Neodiprion lecontei: one gene and its partners. The protein of the gene in region 1 interacts with the protein of each later gene in a biochemical or structural test. Links are inferred from orthologs where the notes say so. Each region holds a gene or a part of one and is shown in the gene's direction. Other genes may lie near its edges.

What was found.
Region 2: the proteins of SWI/SNF complex subunit SMARCC2 (region 1) and ATP-dependent helicase brm form a complex in vitro, tested with the Drosophila melanogaster proteins (2 studies listed by BioGRID, with this or other methods). The link is inferred for Neodiprion lecontei from reciprocal best matches to the Drosophila melanogaster genes mor and brm.
Region 3: the proteins of SWI/SNF complex subunit SMARCC2 (region 1) and bromodomain-containing protein 4 form a complex in vitro, tested with the Drosophila melanogaster proteins (2 studies listed by BioGRID, with this or other methods). The link is inferred for Neodiprion lecontei from reciprocal best matches to the Drosophila melanogaster genes mor and Bap111.

The regions. Positions count from the first base shown.
Region 1 is NC_060265.1:28,054,271-28,062,708, forward strand, and holds SWI/SNF complex subunit SMARCC2, read left to right. Parts: upstream 1-2,019; 5' UTR 2,020-2,037; coding exon 2,038-2,154; intron 2,155-2,249; coding exon 2,250-2,369; intron 2,370-2,604; coding exon 2,605-2,718; intron 2,719-2,841; coding exon 2,842-3,212; intron 3,213-3,291; coding exon 3,292-3,543; intron 3,544-3,694; coding exon 3,695-3,987; intron 3,988-4,074; coding exon 4,075-4,384; intron 4,385-4,522; coding exon 4,523-5,280; intron 5,281-5,374; coding exon 5,375-5,727; intron 5,728-5,832; coding exon 5,833-6,291; 3' UTR 6,292-7,254; downstream 7,255-8,438. Other genes in the region: probable methyltransferase-like protein 25, read right to left, coding at 1-23, 98-452, 577-1,170; uncharacterized protein LOC107227210, read right to left, coding at 1,216-1,620; uncharacterized protein LOC107227200, read right to left, coding at 7,400-7,622, 7,899-8,104, 8,324-8,438.
Region 2 is NC_060262.1:27,356,664-27,361,992, reverse strand, and holds the start of ATP-dependent helicase brm, read left to right. Parts: upstream 1-1,771; 5' UTR 1,772-1,919; intron 1,920-3,046; 5' UTR 3,047-3,086; coding exon 3,087-3,338; exon of another isoform or gene 3,339-3,811; coding exon of another isoform or gene 3,812-3,960; intron 3,961-4,199; coding exon of another isoform or gene 4,200-4,351; intron 4,352-4,467; coding exon of another isoform or gene 4,468-4,573; intron 4,574-4,995; coding exon of another isoform or gene 4,996-5,258; intron 5,259-5,329. Other genes in the region: NADH dehydrogenase [ubiquinone] 1 beta subcomplex subunit 8, mitochondrial, read right to left, coding at 315-535, 1,235-1,319; inositol monophosphatase 1, read right to left, coding at 3,812-3,960, 4,200-4,351, 4,468-4,573, 4,996-5,258. UniProt on the Drosophila melanogaster protein: Transcriptional regulator. Acts as a coactivator, assisting one or more dedicated transcriptional activators of ANTC and BXC homeotic gene clusters. Can counteract the repressive effect of Polycomb protein.
Region 3 is NC_060265.1:2,666,852-2,673,952, forward strand, and holds bromodomain-containing protein 4, read left to right. Parts: upstream 1-1,915; 5' UTR 1,916-2,055; exon of another isoform or gene 2,056-2,060; intron 2,061-2,419; exon of another isoform or gene 2,420-2,460; 5' UTR 2,461-2,467; coding exon 2,468-2,531; intron 2,532-2,615; coding exon 2,616-2,659; intron 2,660-2,739; coding exon 2,740-2,820; intron 2,821-2,900; coding exon 2,901-3,107; intron 3,108-3,234; coding exon 3,235-3,319; intron 3,320-3,508; coding exon 3,509-3,631; intron 3,632-3,856; coding exon 3,857-4,029; intron 4,030-4,125; coding exon 4,126-4,227; intron 4,228-4,300; coding exon 4,301-4,489; intron 4,490-4,622; coding exon 4,623-5,666; 3' UTR 5,667-6,043; downstream 6,044-7,101. Other genes in the region: malignant T-cell-amplified sequence 1 homolog, read right to left, coding at 6,778-6,859, 6,935-7,002.

The DNA.
Region 1 (8,438 bases):
TCCCACTTTAACATCCTGCATGCCTGAAACAAATTCTTTCAATTACATGTACAGAAATTTTCAAAGCAAATTGTGTCTAGGAAATAATTTTTCTAACCCAGTGAATGAAGGAGAACTTGAAAAACTGCTCTGTAGTGAAGTGTTGGTGATAAGGAATACTCATTTTGGCACGAACGCTGAACCGACTGCTGAGCTAGCATTTTGGCATTTTTTGAAATGTTCAGTTTCCCGCCGAGTGAGGTCTCGGCTAAATGGTAACAACACGTGACTAGACAGAGAGATTTTATACAGTCAGTTTTTAAAAATGCTTTTATAACCGAATGGCCTAAAGAACCACAAGTATGGAGGCCCGTAAGCGTTAAATTTTCGCTCAAACTCCAGGTAGGAAAATATTTCTCTGCTAACTCTGCAAACTCTGTAAATTCATCTATGCGCTGTGCCAGATGATGGACCTGAAAAAAGAGTTTCACAAGATTTGACAAGTCATTCAGTCGATATATTCTGAATACATTAATCAGTTTAATCATTAGACGGTAACTAAAGTACGAGTTAGAATCTGAAGTCCGAAAATCATACCAAATGAGAACTTTGGTTGGGTTTTTTCTGTAATATATTTTGTCTTCTGATAGCACCTCTGTGAGCAATGTCTGAAGAATCTATGGCTAAGACGGGAATTTTGTATTTCTCCGAAATGTGTTGAGAGAGATAGCCTTTTCCTGCTCCAGCATCAATAACAGCGCTAGAATGAATTTCGGCCAAAGACGAAGTGATTCTAGCAACAATTTCCACTTCGTAGGATTTTTTCGCATTCATAAAATCAAGTCTGCTGTTGTGAATTTTTGACTCCAAATTCTTTAAATCGATTCCCCATTCCAAGAAGAGGTCTGGTATGTCTCTCAGATCGTATACCAGGTTACATTTGTCCAAAGACAGCGCATTGATAAGTTTACAGAACTTATACAGCTCTGGGGTAGTGGATTCCTGGCCATAAAAATTAGCATTAATGATTGAATTGGAGCTAAGTGTTTCTAGCTCGTTCCGCAGTGATTTTGGTAAGCACTGATCCCATAAATTTTCAGTTATGAAATCGACAAGATGAGAATCTATCAAAGCTTGATACGAAGTTAAAACTGTGGCTACCTTCTCCAAGTGCTCACTAAACAAAGACATTTTCAAGTTCAAAGCTGAAACCAATGTTGATACTTGCAACACATGTTAAAAATCGAGTTTCTCTTGCTCGGGATAAGTAAATTTGATCTTTGCCAGCGAGCAGATGCGGCTGTACTTTAGCTTAATGTCTTCAAGCAGTTTAAGTATATCGATCGAGTCCGAGTTGTGTTTCGGGAAGTTTTCTATGTCGCCTTGCAATTTGTTTGCCAAGTCAATAACTTTTTCAGGAAACAAATTGGCTTTGAGGTTATACTCCAAAACCCCGCTGTAAAATCCCAGCTGCGCTGCCACTTGACTTGCTCTGTGGTACCCCAAGTGGTAAGGCTCTGACAATTGAGTCCTGCCGTCTTTGTAGCCTTCCGCAAATCCAGTTTTTTCGCCTATTTCTTCGCCAAAGAGTATATCGTCAAACGCCTCATTTATATCTACGTCTTCGTTCCCCGCAGACATTTTGAATTCCAGGCAATCCAGAGTGAACTAAGGGGCAGGCTTTCCCATGGAGGCGAGAGCGTTCCAGTTATTCGAGAGTAACATATCGCGGCCGTAGTGAAAAATCGCAGAGTGAGACGTTCGGATACAATACACATTCAGTGTATTTGCTCGCGATCGAACGGCTGTGACGGATAATCGTATCCACTAGCTGTAATACTTCACTGTCCTTTTTTTTACATCAGTATTGGAGAAAAAATTAGAGTAAATGGTGAACAAGAATTAACTTAACAGGGTTGTCAAGTTTCCACGCGGAGATACAATACCGGACTTGCAGCAAACTTCGGACTCTCGTGTTGTGTGTGTGTGATGTTCGCGGGTGGCGAAGCGTTGTTTTCCTCAAGTGTCGGTGGTTTTTGAGTGAAATTAAATTGGAAAATGCTCTCTTTGGGGCCAAAGAAGGACGGCGGTCCAAATGCGAAATTCTTCGAGTCTCCAGATATACTGGGCCAATTGGACGGAGTCAAACAGTGGCTTCTAAAAAATTGTAAAAAGGTGAGGCCGGCGTCTCCCAAGCGCCGAGTTATGTTCGCTCTGATTTTCTATCGCCAGTATTTCCCTATAATCGAATTTAATTACTTTTTTCACAGTATGTTCAAACCGATCCACCCACGAATAAAAGTCTCGCGTCTTTGGTCGTCCAATTGTTACAATTCCAGGAAGATAACCTCGGAAAAAATGTGTCAAAACCGCCGATGACAAGACTTCCTGTAAGTAGCATTTACGTGCAAACATGGCTCAGTGTACAGAGTCATATTTATTTTTTTTTTCTAAGTTTTTATGAAATTCTGAATTATTTCATATCGGACTTGCATGTCTCCTAGTTAAACATAATTTCGAGATTACACAATTATCTCACTACGATGATGTTTAATCGGTGCAAATTCAATACTAAAAATTAAGAATCACCACCATGTCTCAAACATTATTAATTGCTCTTTCCAGATGAAGTGTTTCCTAGATTTCAAGCCTGGTGGTGGTCTTTGTCATATATTAGCTACCGCGTTCAGATTTAAACAGGAACAAGGATGGCGACGTTTCGACTTTCAAGTCGGCAAGGTAATGCATTTATATATGTACAAAATTCTTTGATATTTTCCATCTCTGTTAAAATTTCTTGATGTTCTACTTGAAAAATGTAAGACAAATCTTTGATCTGAATATTCTCTATTAACTTTGTAGTCCGGATCTCGCATGGATCGTGCGATAGAGATGTTAGTGGCAGCGGAACGGGCACTGGTACAAAATCGATGCATGACAGTACCCTGTGTGTACGTTAGACCAGATGTAGACAAAAATACAGCGTCCAAAGTCAAGGAAGTTGTTAAGCGTCATCAGGGAACAATTGCCGAAGCTGAGGCTGATGCAACGCACATTGTTTATCCACCAGCTGATCCCCTTGAGGAGGAATACGCTCGTCCTTACTTGAGGCGTGAACGCTCTGTTCTATTGCACTGGTACTACTTTCCCGACAGTTACGATTCATGGACAACATTAGATCTGCCTTGGGATTTCCCTGAAGGTCCTCTTGGGATAGGAAGTACAAGTGGAAGGTATGATAATAATCAATTAAAAGTTATTTCATGTCATGAATAAGATATAAGTTACTTATTCAGTATAACCAAGGAAAAGTGATGAAATTATTGATTACAGACCTCAGTATCGTGTGTCGGCTACTTGGGCTCTAGATCTTGACCAGTACAATGAGTGGATGAACGAAGAAGACTACGATGTCGATGATAATGGACAGAAGAGAGTTCACAAGTACCGGCTTTCTGTCGAAGACTTGATGGCTCAACCGTCTCATCCGCCACCTTCGTCTGCAAAAAAACAGAAACGAAAACGCTCCCCCAGTCCACCTCCAAAAATTGGAAAGCGTAAAAGGTGTGCATTTTGTATTTAAAAAAATGGCAGCTATTACATCAACATGGTGTGTTGAAGAAAAGTGATAAACGATTGTCGATAGATTATAATCCTCATTCCGTTACATTCATGTGAAACCAGACTTTTATAGATATTCGTATTTTTTTAACAGTGGTCGCGGACCGGCAGGACTCCAAGGTTCGTCTACTTCTTTGGCTACTCCAAAAAAGTCTCGAGGTGGCGTCGACGAAGAAGAAGATCTGACACAGGGGATGGAAGATCCTCCAGCTGAACCAAGGATAATAGAAGTGGTAGCAAGCCCAGCCAATCCACCTTCTATTGGGCCTGGTGGTGGATCTACAGCTGGTAGTGGAAGTTTGTCGACAACTGGAAACAAAAAACAAGATAGTGAACTACAACCTCTAAAATCTGGCAACATGGCTGATTTGGATGAGCCTATAGACGGTGTGTAATCCGCAGTCACACTTAAATTGGACGTGTTTATGAATATACAATAAGCAAATGTTTTAGCTACTGATTCAATGATTTTAGGTGACAAAGGAAGTACACAAGCGGCTCAGGAAAGAGAGGAACGCGGAGCTAGCAAGGAACGAGGAGAGGGTGGGAAAGGAGATGAGCCGGAAGATAATGTTACTGAGCAAACGCACCATATTGTTGTACCCAGCTACTCAGCTTGGTTCGATTACAACTCAATCCATACCATTGAGAAGCGTGCGTTGTCCGAATTTTTTAATGGTAAAAACAAATCGAAAACGCCCGAAATCTACCTTGCTTATCGCAACTTTATGATCGATACTTACCGACTAAATCCAACCGAATATATCACCTCTACTGCCTGCAGGTACGGACAAAACTGTTTCCCTTTCAAAATTCGGTTTGAAGAAGCTCTTGTATACCAGGGTGTTATTTGAGTACTAATCACTTCGTATCACTCGCATTGTACTAAAAAATCCATATAACGTGGCATAATTGTTTTCAGACGTAATTTAGCAGGAGATGTGTGTGCCATTATGCGTGTTCACGCGTTTCTAGAGCAGTGGGGTCTCATTAATTATCAAGTTGACGCAGAATCTAGACCAACTCCAATGGGTCCGCCACCTACATCTCACTTCCACGTTCTCTCAGACACTCCATCTGGACTGGCACCTGTTAATCCGAATCCTCCCAAAACTCCGCAGCCTTCCAGTGCTGCAAAATCTCTGTTGGATTTGGAAAAGAAGCCTGCTGTTGTTGGCATGGGACCAGAAGAAAAGAGCGGACTTGGAGTTATGACTAACTTTGGTCTGAAGGTGGATCAGTATTCCAGAAAACCTGCAGTTTTAAAAAGCAAACAAGCTGCTGGTGCCACTCGCGATTGGACCGAACAAGAAACGCTATTGTTATTAGAAGGGTTAGAGCTCCATAAAGATGATTGGAACAAAGTTTGCGAACATGTTGGATCTCGTACTCAAGACGAGTGCATACTTCATTTCTTACGTCTACCTATCGAAGATCCGTACCTCGAAGAAGGAGGCCCTGAGGGTCTAGGACCACTCGCCTATCAGCCTGTTCCATTTTCCAAGGCTGGTAACCCGGTCATGAGCACAGTAGCTTTCTTAGCTTCCGTTGTGGATCCAAGAGTGGCTGCTAGTGCTGCTAAAGCCGCTATGGAAGAATTTGCAGCAATCAAAGATCAAGTGCCTGCAGCCCTACTGGATCAGCATCTTCGTAATGTTCAAGCAAGTGCTAATCCAGATGGTAAGTTTTGGGGAAAACAGATTAAATAGACTGGTAACGAGTACGAAAATGATTTTTATCTATGTTAACAATAATCACTCGTCTGTATATTCAGGTAAATTTGATCCATCAGCAGGACTTGCACAGTCCGGTATTGCAGGAACTGGACCTCCAGAACCACCCGAAGATCCTGCTGTCTCAGCTACTAGTGCAACTTCCTCGTCTGCAAGTGTTACTTCTCCTCAAGCTTCGACTGCGGAAAGTAAAAAAGAGGAGCTTCAGGATATTAAAGTCAAGGAGGGGGTGGATGCTACGCAGGTGCCACCACAATCTATGAAAAAGGAAGAGTCAGTGGAGAGTGAACGTGACCAGCCAGAAAAAATAGAGGTCGATCCAAAGGAGAATGACGATGAAGCTAAGTCTAAAGGAGATCCTGAAGAAACTGAAGCTAAAGAAAAGAGAGATAAGGTAATATTAACGGCATTGAATACTCTATTCTATCAAGGGCTAAGATTATATTAGTTTCTGTCATGTAAACAATGTCTAAAGCTATTCTTTATTACTCTGACGCAGGTGGTTAGAGATGCGCAACTACAATCTGCTGCGGCGGCCGCGTTAGCAGCTGCAGCTGTCAAAGCAAAACACTTAGCAGCGGTAGAGGAAAGAAAAATCAAGTCTTTAGTGGCACTACTGGTTGAAACGCAGATGAAAAAGCTTGAAATAAAATTGCGGCATTTCGAGGAGCTGGAGACAACAATGGAAAGGGAACGGGAGGGCTTGGAATATCAGCGCCAGCAACTAATTACAGAACGGCAGCAATTTCACTTGGAACAATTAAAAGCAGCGGAATTTCGTGCTCGACAGCAAGCACACCAACGGCTAGCCCAGGAACAGCAGCAACAACAGCAGAGTCAGCATCCACCGTGGCAAGCATCCAATACTCAGCAACAACAGCAACAGCAACAACAGCCACCTAGTCCGCAGCCACAGGTGGCGCAACCGCCTCCGCACACTCCACCTCAACAAGCGTAATTCACAGCACTTTTTATAAAACAAACCAGTATAATAAACAAACACGCATTTTAGTGGTTGTCATATAAGTCGGGAGTAGTGACTGATAAATTTACTATACTTTGATATTCGATAAACCCATTCATGGAGTGTGTCGGTATACATCCAAAATTCCTAGGGCATGTTGGACGCGTTTTCTTCATGTGATTTCCTTTGCTTTTTTCTCTTTCGCTTCGTTTTCAATTCCTGATCATCGCTGTAAAACTTATTTAGCTTGGTTAGTAAGACCATTTTATTGGAAATATTTTATTTTTTACTTATTTATTACCAGCTAGAAACGTGGTTGCATTATGCAATGTGAAAAACTATTCTTCTCAAGATATTGCCGAGGCCTAATCAACAATGTACAGTTAACTTTGCTGTAACCTAAATTATTAGACAACCACTAATAGTTTTAAAATGCCGATATACCGGGCCAACCGATTATTCCAATACAATAACAACTACCGTTAGAATTTGATTTCATCCCGAATAAATGAGTAATATTTAAGCTGTATATTGCGGACCAGCTACAATGGTTAATTTCGTGTGTACCAATCATTTGTTCTATGCAGAATGCTTTGAGAGTAATTATTGAATCAGGGAGCATGAAACGCTGTTTTGATTATTACACCATTTTGCGAGAAAGTTTGAACAAATTTTAAAATGCATTCATGGACTTCGTACCTATATTATAATAATTCATAATATAATCAACTCATGATCTTCGTGTACAATACACTATTACATACATATACATATTATATATATATATAATTATTTGAAATCAATTATTGTGCACCGTTATCATCTTGTAATATAAGATCTTACCGAATTTAGGAAATAGATAATAAGGTTAAACACGATGTCACTATACTAAAATAGTATAACGCAAAACTGCTATAGGGAAAACGTAAATGAATTAAAACAATTGGGTACCAGTAATCAAGGTTACGTTAACATCATTTTATTCATATATATATTGAAAAACCATATTACGTTTAAGAACGTTTTAGGTTAATTAAGATTGGATTATTTGTGTTTTCTACTTTGGATTGAGAAATTGTGTTACAATAATGGTCTAACGAATTCATAGAGCCTGGTTATCTATTAGCTCCAATACCAGGTCAGTCATCAGACGTGCACACTCCACACCTCCGGGTGGAGGCCCTTGTGCTCCCTCCACTTTTTCGCTTTGTTCTTCATCCTCGTACAAATCTGGGGCTTCGTCGCTGGCACAGGTACTTATTGGAAGCATATCTAATGCTATGCCCAACCCAAAGCGTCCACATCTCCGCAGCTCTTCAGTTAAACTATTATCAATTTCGAAACAAACATTAATATTTTCTAATACTTGTATATGTATGTAATTTAACATTATAACGTTTTAGGTATGCATATTTACTTGGCTTTTGGTGTCATGCAACAACCAATACATAGATATTCATTTACAAAAATATCTGGAACTGTTGGCAAACGACTGTGATCTGTTTATATCGCACTGTAAATCACGGAAAACGGTACTTTTCATTTCATCGCACCACCCGAGTTAGAAATCAAACTACATTTAAATATCCTTTTCCACTTACATATCCCACATGATTTCAGGATCTCTCAAAGCTTCTTGAACATTGAGCATCTTTAGAGCATAAGTTAAGTGATGGTGGTAATGGCGTAAAAGTGATGTCATGTGAGCACGTCTGACTTCTCCGCTGGTGCAACAATAGAGAAGTGTTGCTAAATCAAGGGCCAATGAACCCACCCGAGACAGTTGGAAATCAACAAAGCATACAACCTGCTCAAACGTAAGTAGAACAAATGAAATCTTGAGTTATAATTGTAATGATAATTTTTTGAATCCTAGACTGTGCCCTATACATATATATGCGATTGGAAAGTGTTAAAAATTTCATGCTGTGCTGGAAAATTCCTAATTATCATCACATAAATTACATATATTGATAGACAAACAAAACTGAAAATAATTTTACAAAACATCTCAGTGTGTACAAACCTTTTTGTCAGATTCTAATTCTTTACGAAACAAGATATTGTTGGTCCAACAATCGCCGTGACAAAAAACTGTTAGAGGCCCTTCAGTAGCAGCCAGTTCGCACATCGTATGGAAG
Region 2 (5,329 bases), on another chromosome or scaffold:
GGTGAACTTAATTGAATACGTTTTCAACTTTCACTTTCCTTATAAAACGAGAATGAAAAGCCTCGTTGATGTAGTAAAGACCACAAAGGAATTGTCATGTAATTCTTAATTATTCTATGAATTACTTGTTCACGCCATGAAAAATGAATGCAGTAAATTTGATATTCATCAGGAGTTTGATTCTCTTACTGTTGCATCCTGAAGATTTGCTTTTAAATTCAAGTGTTTCAAATAGCATTGATACCCTAATAAGGCAACATGCGTTTGTTTTGAGAAAGTATAAGAAAACTCGGAATGAAATGAATTGTACTAACAGGTTCGTTGAAATTTCTTTTATGTTCTGGGAAATCCCAAGGGTAATAATCATCCTTGGCTTCAGCCGAGACCATAGGAAGTTCTGGATAATCTCCTAAACCATTTCCATCATCTGGAATTGGTTTATAATCTTCTTTTATTAGGTTATATTTCTCTGCTGCTTTAGCTCTTTCTTCTTCTGTTGTTGGATATTGGGCTGGTTTATAGTCCCTGATCATACCTGAACAGAAAAGATTTTATCATAATTTATAATACGTTTAAATGAGTTGAACTTTGTGACCGTATAGATATTATAAATATTTGATTTCGTTGGACGACGGTCAGGGTTGGAATGATGGTCAATAAGCAATGAATTTTATTTTCCGTACATTTTGGCAGGTCCTGATGATGGTCGGCTGGGCCTGCCGAAACGTCGTACAGAAGATAAAATTGATTGCTTAATGTGCATCATTCCAACCCTAACCGTCATCCAACGAAATCAAATATTCATAACACGTTTAAAAGAATGTTTTGTTAATTCGTAACAGTTAGCTTTCAGTTCATTACCTAATATGCATGAAACAATTTAATGAAATTATTTATCAGGCCATTTAAAGCAGGTACAGTAATGAAATCTCATTGCATCTGTTTTGAAACATACATTCTGGCATTTTGATGACATAAATATGTATTAGCTGTTCATATGGAGTTAAGCTGCCCGTGAGAAAGTTGAAGATATCAAAAAAGATATGTATCGTAATATCGAGGAGCAGGAAAAGTAAGCTACACATTAATTTTCGTTAAAATCTGTAATGCAAAGTAATAAATTATGTAATTGATGGACATAACCTCTACGGTGTGCGTTTACTCCAGTAACTTCATTCGCACTCACGAAATATTTCACACAAATATATTTTTATGGTGTTCTGTTTACACTTACTGTATTTCGCTATATTATACGTGTAGACACCGTTTTGTGGCCATAATCGGGTCGAAATTTTACAGAACTTCGCGAGAGAAGACATTTTTGATAACTCAGGCCTTTCCGGCTCTGACCACCAACTATAGAAACTCCGTCTCTGTGGCTACGGGCTCTACGGAGGCGCGGCGTTGAACGCGTTCTAGCCATGGACTAAAGCCATAGACTATCGTAAGCGTTGACTGAACTCACTGATATGTAACAGTAACCAAACAAGATCAACACAAAAGACAATCTAAAGCCAGAGTTGAATCAAATGTCCGCTATCTCTTGCTTTTTTCATTTTTAAAAACGACATTTCTCAACGCTTTTTATACCCATATATAGCGATTTGAGCCATAAAATGGGTAAAACATCGATTGGGTTCGTATGGTAAAGATGGCCTGAAGATGGATTCGCACCGCTGTTTTTATGTATAAACATTCAGCATACGATTGGCGATAGCAGCGCCACTAGCGTCTGAACGAGCGAGAATGCGGGAAAGAAAGATGGCCGGCGGCTTGTGTTATTCGGTGGGATTTGTCGTGTAGTCGCGGTCAAGATTGCTTTCTCCTATTTAGGTTGAAATATTACAAGTTTACTGCATGAACGTAGTGGAAACTATTCGTCGTATGTTCGGCGGAAGCCCGAGCTAAGAGTTAAAAAGGTACGAGTCGTCTTTACAGACATATTCATGAATGTATGTCTTACGTTTTTGCGTAATGGCCAAAAGGGACTCCGATTCGCTCGAGTGTGTTTGTGCTTCAACTTTGTTGACGATGAAATTCTAGTTGAAATCGTCACGATTTGAAACTAACTCATTGAATAATATAATTGAGGTACCAAGTTTTCCGTAAAGCGTACATTATCTGAGACGTACACAGAGTGTTGAGTAATATTTGACGACGAAGCCGTGAGTTTGGTGTCACACACACATAATTGTGTTCCATCAATCCAAGTTTTTCGCCTCACCCTGCCTTACGAACCACTGTCGTATTTTTGATAGTTTTTTTTTTTAACTCTCTCAATTTTCTTAGGTATTATGAATTACGTCATTTTGTGTCTTCTTTTTTTGCTATTAAATATGCAGACTTTTTGTCATCAGCTTTGTTGTTAACTTGTAAATGTGAAATGAGGTTACATTTGACGGGTTCTCGTACTCGTGATCATAATCCTGACAAAAGAATTATCAGTTTAAGCCAGAAAATTTCGATAATCTTTGACTAATTAAATAAATACCACTTTAAACCATCAATGAAATAGGCACTATGCTCAAAATCACAATTGTAAGAAACTTACCTCGCACACCCAGATATGCAGTCGATGTATCAGTTGCCATTATTCTGTGATGCAACGTCACCTTGGTTGTTTGTGCACTAACGCGAAGCATAAATTCTTCATAAAATAAACTTTGTGTCTTTCCCATGTATTTTGATCTAGGAAGCTATGCAATCGTGACTGAAACATCTTGTGATTCGTTCATGTTGAAAACCACGGGTTCATTCTAATGGAAATATTTCTGAAAAGCAATTCTGTTAATCTTTGGAATATAAGCAGTATTACAGTTGTTAATGATTCTACTTTTGTTGAACGGAATGGACTTGGAAAAATCAGGGATGCTGAGAGAGTCAACCGAAAAAAACATTATCGTTTCCAAAATATTTTTTCTGCATTCTTACGCAAACCTTATTAAAAATTAAATTCCTGTCCGAGTCTTCCATAAAAGGAACTTCGAATTTATATCCTAATGTTTGTCTAACTTTGGTTTCATTGGTAATGAGATTTATTTTTCAGAGTCCCAGTACTGAATAAGCTGGAGTCTGATAGAAACAGCATGGCGAGCCCCTCGCCCCAATCGTCTCCCATGCCACCCCCACAAGCACCAAGTCCAATGGGCCCTCCCCAACAAGCTCCATCCCCGTCCAATCCTCAAGGCAGTCCAATGGGTCCTCCACAACATCATCCTCATAGTCCAACTCAAGGATATCAGGGCGGTCCACCAATGCCGCAGCAACAGCAGCCTCCCCCACAGCAACAAGGGTATCCTCCACACCCGCAGCAAATGCCACCAAATATGGGACCTCAGGTGAGATGTTTTTAAATTCAAATCATCGAATGAAGCTAAAGTCTTCAGAATTCACAATGGGATGTGTTAATCATTGTATGCTATTTCTCCTCGCCGGATTCGGTTCTTAAAGATAAGTTGAACGTGGAGTAATCAAATTATATGTTAGCTTGTATTGATATGAAAATCTAGTGAAATGCTTCTTGGAACAAATTTATTTTGTAGACGGTTCAAGGGAATTGAAATGCTCATTGCGTGAAGAGTTTAAATTTAGTAGTTATAATTCAAAAGATCAATTAAACGAAGAGAATGAAGAACAAGTGAAGAACTTGGACATATATACGACGATTTTTCTATTCTCTTCTTTCCGTTATTTGCTTATTTGACACTGCTAATTGTCATAAATCGCTGTGCTGAACTTGATATTGGAAGTTTTAAGATGAATAGTTACAGAAGTTTGGAATTACACAGTACAAGATATAAAGGGAAGTTTGTTAAAGATCTGAACTTATCTGCAACAAGAAGTCAGATATTTTTTCCTGACCGATGCTGTCTGTTTTCTTGAATAGATTGACAATTTGTTCAGCTATTTCACGGTTACAAGCTGCAATCACTTTTGGGTTCATCAAATCTAAAACTCCACCTGAAAAAAGAATCCATTTCAAGTCCATAAATTAATTTGAAGAATTCTGTACATAGATGAATGTAGACGATCCGTCAAATTCTATAATGTTGATTTTCTGCTTCCTCATCATAGATTATTCTGTTTTCAATATTTAGAATGTTTATATTAGTATACATTCTTATCAATTCTCCGTTGACAGAAGAGAAGAAAAAAAATATTTCCCTCGATTACACACACCATAAATTATATGATCTTACCAGTAGTATCCACAACCATCCCTCCAGCCTCTTCGATGATTAATTGTCCGGCAGCCACGTCCCATGGGTCTATGCCTTCGATGTGATATGCTTCGATTGCACCCATCGCTACGTAGCATAGACTTAGCGCAGCCAGTCCCAGAGATCTAATTCTGAAATAATTTGTTGATAGTTTCATTCGAAATTATACTTACACGCAACTGTTCAACTATGAGAGTTTCTTTCGATTAATACAGCTTGTAGTCCTTGAATTTTTTCTAGTACCAACCCGTGAGTCTTCTGAATTAGAAAATGTGTTCTGCTATACAAACTTGAGGTATGTTCTTCATTTTTGGCTAACCATGGCTCGATTCCGACAAGAGCATGCGAAAGGTCTGAAACATCCAATTTTGTGTCAATTCTGACATTTTTGTTCGACAAATGTTCAATTTCAATTAATTGTACTTTCGATTTAGGAGAGACGGTACTTGTATCACATTTTGTGGTATATTTATTTTTTTGTCAACTCCTTGGCTTGCACTGGCAATTAAAATTATCAGCCATTGTTACTTATTAGTGTGAGATAATATTTCACTAGGTTAACGATGGTAACGTGAACCTAATGAATAATTGGAAAAAATCACTATCTTGCAATTTTTAAATAATTTCAAAGCAGTTATGTTTTTAAAACATGGGCACATTTTATTTTATCATGGTCTACTGAATTTCAGATAATTCTAAAATTGACAAATAATAATTTTTCGAATCATATATCGCTACAATAACGTTGCTAACTTCATCCTCACAATATTTTTACCTTGAACACCAGAAGTTCGGATCGGTTTCCCATTTAGGAAAGCTCCTTTTCCCCTCACCGCAGAGAAGAATTGCTGCATAACAGGATTGTAAACGATACCGATTTCAACTCTTTTATTGATGACCAAAGCGATGGAGATACAAACGTGAGGAAACTTGTGAATAAAGTTAGTCGTTCCGTCTATCGGATCAATTATCCACGTGGGATCATCAGTTAATTCCGGCATTTTACCCTCATTCGCCACATCTTCTTCTCCTATAAACCTGTTATTCGAATCACGTGGCACCATCATTGTCGAGTTATAATGTATATGCAATTAATTGTTAGTCGGCGA
Region 3 (7,101 bases), about 25 Mb from region 1:
AAAACCTCCGCTGATCGAGAATATAAAGCGTCACAAAAGAACATTGCTATTAGCGCGAAACATGTCAAATGCTGCGTGGAATATACCATACTTAGGTACAGTACACTGCCGACCAATATTCATTATCCCTGAATTTTCAATACCGCAATAGCTTTCAATCATCCACAATAATGGTAACATTCTTCTATGTCGCGCCACATTTTTTCCTCTGGATCACACGTTAGTCATGTGAGAACCTTCGAGAAGGGGATGAAATGAGTTAATATTCTGAATTACACGGTTGCAAATGATACCATGTTTTTCAGGGACCCAAAAAATAATGCCGTTTGTACCCGTCACCGAGGGAGGCTCAAAATAATGAAACCTGCCAATATCTTATGTATTTTTTAGTGATTCTTGTAGGACCAGCATAACCTCAATGGAGTGACTAGTGCGAGAATATGAGTAGCTAGGATCGAAATATATTCAGTAAAAAAATGGGCGAATAAAAAGTTAATATTCTCAGTCATCCCAGGAAAAACTATTTCTCGGATGCGGCATCATAACCTCTAAATGAAAGTCAACGAGTGTTAAAAATAGCATTCGCGATTATAACTGATAATGATGATGATGATAATAAATAAACACCTGAAAGTAATACTTGCCTGCAGTGGTCTGGTTACTATCGTGGAAGTAAGTTTCAATGAAGACAATCAAATTATTATTAATCTTCGCAATTTTGATCCCACAGTAAACACAGCAATCACATGTTTTCAAGCCGATCTGATTTCAAATATTGCGGCTTGTTGACACTAAAACCCAATCTGGCACGTGTTCCGTAACACGTTACCAATCTTCGGATTTGCGTTCCGCATGCGAGTAAAATAACCCGACGACACCGTTTCCAGCGTGTAATTTAAATCCGGAAAAATTATTACAACGTTGCTGAATTGAGAAATCATATCTCTTTACGTTGCTTACCAACTTGGAGCATATGCATACCAACAATGATATGAATAAATAATAATTAGGTGTATGGCAAAGCTTGCGCACGTGAAGCTCAAGCTTGAATGAGAAGATAGCAAATAAATTACGTTCATACGTGTACACAGATGACAAATGCAGTATATCATATTTTCGAACAGAAGTATATATGTATGTGCAAATGTTCATATTATACCTGGATGTCCATGTAATGAAGAAAGAACAGTTCGATGTACGTTCATCTTTTCTTCGGGAGAATTGAACAATTCGTTTTCACTACGCGCACTCGAGTCCGAGGATATCCTAACTATAAACGATCACTTTTCACCTGTAAACATCTGAACTCTACGTTTGCAGATACACGAAACGAAAATCAAACTGGAAATTTTTTTTCATTTTGAGGGCGGAATAGACTCGTTTATTTTTTATACCGTTTGGATAATACACTACGTAAATACCACTGCGGACAGTATCACAAATGTATCACAAATTTGTTAATATTTTTAATTCAAAACTAACAAACTTACCGTCAAAACTTTATTCTTTACAGCGCGAGAAAGAATTCGGACTTGGAACTGATCAACAACATGGCTTCCCGATCGTCTATCAATTGTTTATTCTAACGTCGCGGACTTGGACAAAAAACCGTTGACCTAAAACTCGAATAACGCTATTCACCAAAGTTCAATTATATTAACTCAGGTTTTATGTTAATATATAACAAAGATAATCAATAAAAACAAATACTTACATGAGTATTGTCGACTAAAGTCCTAAAAGTAGACCCGATCGGCATTAAAAGCAGATGAGACTCCGGTCCGTTGCCAACGTCACACCGATCATGTTGTAAGCGTGATCCGCCATCTCTTGATGATTTTTGTAAGTTCAAAAGCTAGACGCCATCTACGAGATGCGTGCTGACAACTATGCTTTTTTAATGTGGGCATGTACGAGCAATCTATGAAATTCTGAAACCTCGCCCGACGCTTCGGCGTTTTGTACCGTGAATTGTAAATTTTCGTTACTCTCTAACTTTGATTCAGTATGAGGTTTTACTCCTGAAACGATTGACGGTGGTTTCTTACTTACAAAGTAAGTACTTTCATTTATTCGTAATGCTTTATTCGATTTTTCCTTTCCTTCGAATTGGACAGCAGAGGCTTACGTGTACGGAATTTAGCTCATTGCCAGCAACAGCTTAGCACAGTTTTCATACATAATGTTCATTTCCCAAAGTCGGATTTCCAGGAACTCGATTGGATTAATTTACAGACAATTCGAACGGAGTTGTAACCTTCTGTTAACTATTTTGCAAGCGGCGGAAATGATATTTACTCAGAAACTGGAGCTTCTGATATTTTCCCACGATTTCATATATTATCACAAATCTTTGATTGCAGTAGATTGTGAAAAAATTAATTTTTCGACAAACCCAAGTTAATTGTTTTCAAGAATACCGTCTTTCAACGATTCATTCATTAATTTTCAAATGTACAGGTAAAGGATGGCGTTACCGCAGAATTACAAACAAGTGGCGATGGCGTCGTCAAATGTTGTTTCTAGCAATCGTATGTATAATAAACCTAAAGTGAACATCATGCGCATAGACAAAATTGAATGCTGAAATTATAACTGTTGGATATTTTTAACAGAACGATTACGGGCTTCCGGTGCCAGTGGTAGTTCTAGTACAGGGGTATGTTATCAAGCAATCTTTCTCATACGCATCAGTCAAACATCTCTGATCCAGAAATTTAATCATGACATTATTTGCAGAAAGATGCGCAGACCCCTTTCATTCAAACACCTCATGGACATCCTGGATTTACCCCACAGAAAGTTGGAAAAAGCACACCGGTAGACATGCGTTTATTTACATAAAATGTTGTTCTGCCGTTGGCTGCTTACAGGATCCACAATTATGCTATATGTTTCAGGCGGATTCTAGGTTGCCAAAACCACCCAAGCCTCCAGAGAAACCATTGATGCCATACATGAGATACAGCAGAAAAGTCTGGGACCAAGTGAAAGCTCAAAATCCCGAGTTAAAACTATGGGAAATAGGAAAAATCATCGGGCAGATGTGGAGAGACCTACCGGAAGATGAGAAAACTGAATTCATCGAAGAATATGAAGCAGAAAAGGTGAGTATACTGAATTTCAAATATCGAAAACCCTTCTTCCTCATTGCTACCCACTACAGCTACATCTGAAGTTTTCAAATGTTTCTCTCTTTGAAAATTCTAAACAACTAGTAATGTTTGGTTTCAGGTCGAATATGAGAAGAGCTTAAAAACTTACCATAATTCGCCTGCATACCTTGCGTATATCGCTGCAAAGAATAGGGGAAAATCTGGTAGGTTTCAGCTAATTTTTTACTCTATCTGATATTCGTTGCATTATTGTATAACAAGACATATATAGCTCTAACTGCACTTTTCTGTGTCAGATAAGAAAATGATCTGGTATATTTAGATGTGTTTTGTCAGCTTGTGCATATCCAAACACTGAGTGTAGGATGTTTACAAACTTGTGTCTAATGCAGTGTTATGTGCAGCTCAGCAAAATAGCGATGATCGAGAAACTCATGAGCGTTCCTCTGGAAGCAGTAAAAGTCAGGCAGCCCAAGACCGACGGATAGACATTCAACCGGCGGAAGATGATGATGGTATACAATTTATCCATTAACTATCCATTTCTTCTTTTGTTAAACTGTAAGTTTTGGCCTAAGAAGTTCATAATTTGCTATCCCGAAATAAGAGGTAAGCGCAATTGGGATTTCCTAATCTGTGTTAGGTTTTGAAAGACTAATCGTATAAAGTTGACTGGATCTGTACAAACTTAGCAAACGTCGTTGAGCACCGAGTTATGTTCTATTTCTATTTATCCCTAGATCAAGACGATGGATATTCAGTCAAACACGTTGCATATTCTCGATTCGCCCGCAATCACAGACTGATAAATGAGATCTTTAGCGACACCGTTGTACCAGATGTGCGTTCTGTAGTTACTACTCAAAGAATGCAAGTTCTTCGACGCCAAGTACAGTCACTCACAATGCATCAGGTAGTCTAAACCACACGTTGTTAGTAAAATAAATATGTCTTCTATTGTAAAGCAAGAATTGCTTTAACTTATAAATATAATAAAATACTTCTGCAGAAAAAATTAGAAGCTGAGCTGCAGCAGATTGAAGAAAAGTTTGACGCAAAAAAACGTAAATTCGTTGAAGCTAGCGAAGTGTTTCAAGATGAATTAAAGAAAGTAAGTAAAAACTTGTAGTTTACAATTTTAGCATAATAATAAATTGTTGCTGATATACGTTTTATCCCATCAGCATTGTAAGCCTGCAGTAGACGAAGATGCATTCAATAAAATGGTTGAGCGTCAATACGAGTTATTACGAAGAGACAGACAAAAAGGTACCGAAGAAAATCGATCTGATGGCCCGGCTTCAAGCGAATCAACACCGAATTCCACTCCAACTCCAACTCCGGCCCCAGTTAGCGAAGAATCACAACCTGAGGTATTAATAATTTGTTATAAATATACTATGTAAAAATGGATTCTGAGTAAGAGCAGATTATTAGATGAACGGAGAACAAAGACATTCTCACATTCGAAGCTTATAATCAATTGACGTGTGTATATTTCTATAGATTACAGACAGCGAACCATCAGAAAAGAAAATGGATGTGGATCAGCCTATCGAAACGAAAAAGGAGACACTTTCACCGCCATACACAGAAGTAAAAACTGAAACAACAATGCAAACAAATAATCACTCTCCGCAGAGGTCTTCACCTGTGACATATCCGGGAGCAGTGAGCCCCATCCAGCAAACAACCGTTACTACCGCTACAAGCGTACCCCCACCCCAGCCTTCTACTCCACCAGCCATTGCTCCTGTACTTGTACCAGCACAGCCTCCACCACTGCTACTACAACAGCAACATCACCAACAACAACAACAACAGCAGCAGCAGCAACAGCAACAACAGCAGCAGCAACAGCAGCAGCAACAACAGCAGCAGCAGCAGCAACTACCACCACCACCACCTCAGCCGCAACCTCAAACTCAACCTCAGCAACAGCAACAGCAACAGCAACAGCAACAGCAACCTCAACCTCCTCCATCGCATACCCCCCATCAACAAAACGTTCTTCCCAATCATTCGATTCCTCCCCATCAGAATCACACTCTACCCTCTCAAGCGACACCTCCGCACAATCAAAACATGCCGCCCCAAACAATGCCTTCCCAAAATGCAATGCCACCAAACCCTCACGTGAACTCAATGATACCCACCGGTCAGAGTTACAATCAGCAGTATCAACCGGCCGGAGGTCAACAAGCGCAAAATGTTCCGTTGGCTCCAAGACCGCCACATCCTTCTTATGCGTATTCTCAACAGCAGCCGTATCATCAACCTTATCCTCAATATGCTCATCCCTATTATCAATCTTATTCCCAGTATGCTCCCCATTCTATGGGTAGACCGCACTCTCACGGCCCACACAGCCCTCATAGTCCTCATTATCATCCTCAATCACCGCACAATGTGGGAGATGGAAATTCAGGTTCTAATGTTGGCTCTGATTCAGGAGCTTCGTATGCTTCGACACCTATTCACGGCGACAGAGATCGACCTCCCGAAAACCAGGCGGACAATCAAAAAATGGATACATCTGGATCAGGATAAATCCACGAAGTGTTGAATTTAGTTTGTAAGCTATTTTCAAACAAAACAACCTTTTTATTAATAATTGTATTGGAGTGGTGTTTAGTTTCGAAAAACCTATAACTGTAAGTATTCATGTCCCATTTTTGTCATTATACTAGGTTATTCTGATTTATGGTTATACAATGTTGGCTACACACTGATTAATATAGGTTGAAGTAATCTAGTATTTCATCATCATTCACACCATAATGGAAGACTAGGTAATGCTTTTAAAAACACGTATGACCTAGCTGATCTTTTCGTAGAGTGTTTAGAACGATTTCTTAACAATTGCTGATTATCATTGGAACTGATCAATATGGTAATAGAAATAAAGCTTACTCTATAAAACTGGACATTCATTTTATCATTTCGGATGCAGTAATTTAAGCGACTGTACAGAAAACGTTGCAACACATCAATTTGCATAACTCGTGAGTATAAATGTAATACATTCTTAGTATCCAGCTACAGTGATATCAAGTTTATTGACATGTTAAAAAAACGGCTGAATGCGTAGTAGTATATTCAATACCAGTCACAGGAGATTAATCGAAATAATTTGATAATTCTATTATTTTTTCCTTGTAGAAAGAGACAAGAATAGTATATTATGCAACAATAAAGTCAAAGATTATTCCTGCGGGTGGGTTTGCTACCTGAGCGAAACGAGGGCAGTAATCACCTGAAGGAATAATCGACTTGTATTTCTGTTGCATGTAAAACTTTATTCCAGGCTCAACTCTGATCACATTATTGACTTGATAGTCTTAACTTTTTATGTGCAAGTGTGATCATTTTATTAGTCTAAAGACTAGGATATTGTTGAAAATTCACAATAACACCGTACGAAATAGTTAAAATTTGAAAATAGTGAGAAAAACTGAAAAACCCATTTCAAAACTAATCATTATTCCCGCAAATGTAGGAGAAACGTGCTACATTTCTCTCACAAACGAGGGAAAGAAATAAAGAAGGAATCTGCTACTTTTGTCCCACATTTCAGGTCAATAAAGTGAACAATCATGGTTGAGTTGGGAATAGAATAATCTTATTTTACAGGCATTCCAGTAGGTAATAAAGTAACAACTCATTTCACAGCCTTCATTTGCCAAAGTCCATCATTGAGGTAATGACAGTTTTCAACACCAACGCCTTTGTTTATTTTTGCGCTGAAATTTATAAATGTAAGTTACAATTATGATACAATTGTAGCCAAAATTGTATTCATCAATCTTTCGACTTACATATCATCAGTTGACAACGATGTCATTCCAACTGCTAAAGCATGTTGTTTGCCCTCGGCCATAACTGCCTAAATGAACGAGTTACTTGGATATAGAATAATATTTTTGAACAATCGTGTGATAATAAAAACGAAGAAGAAATAAACCCATCACATGTCGATCACTGC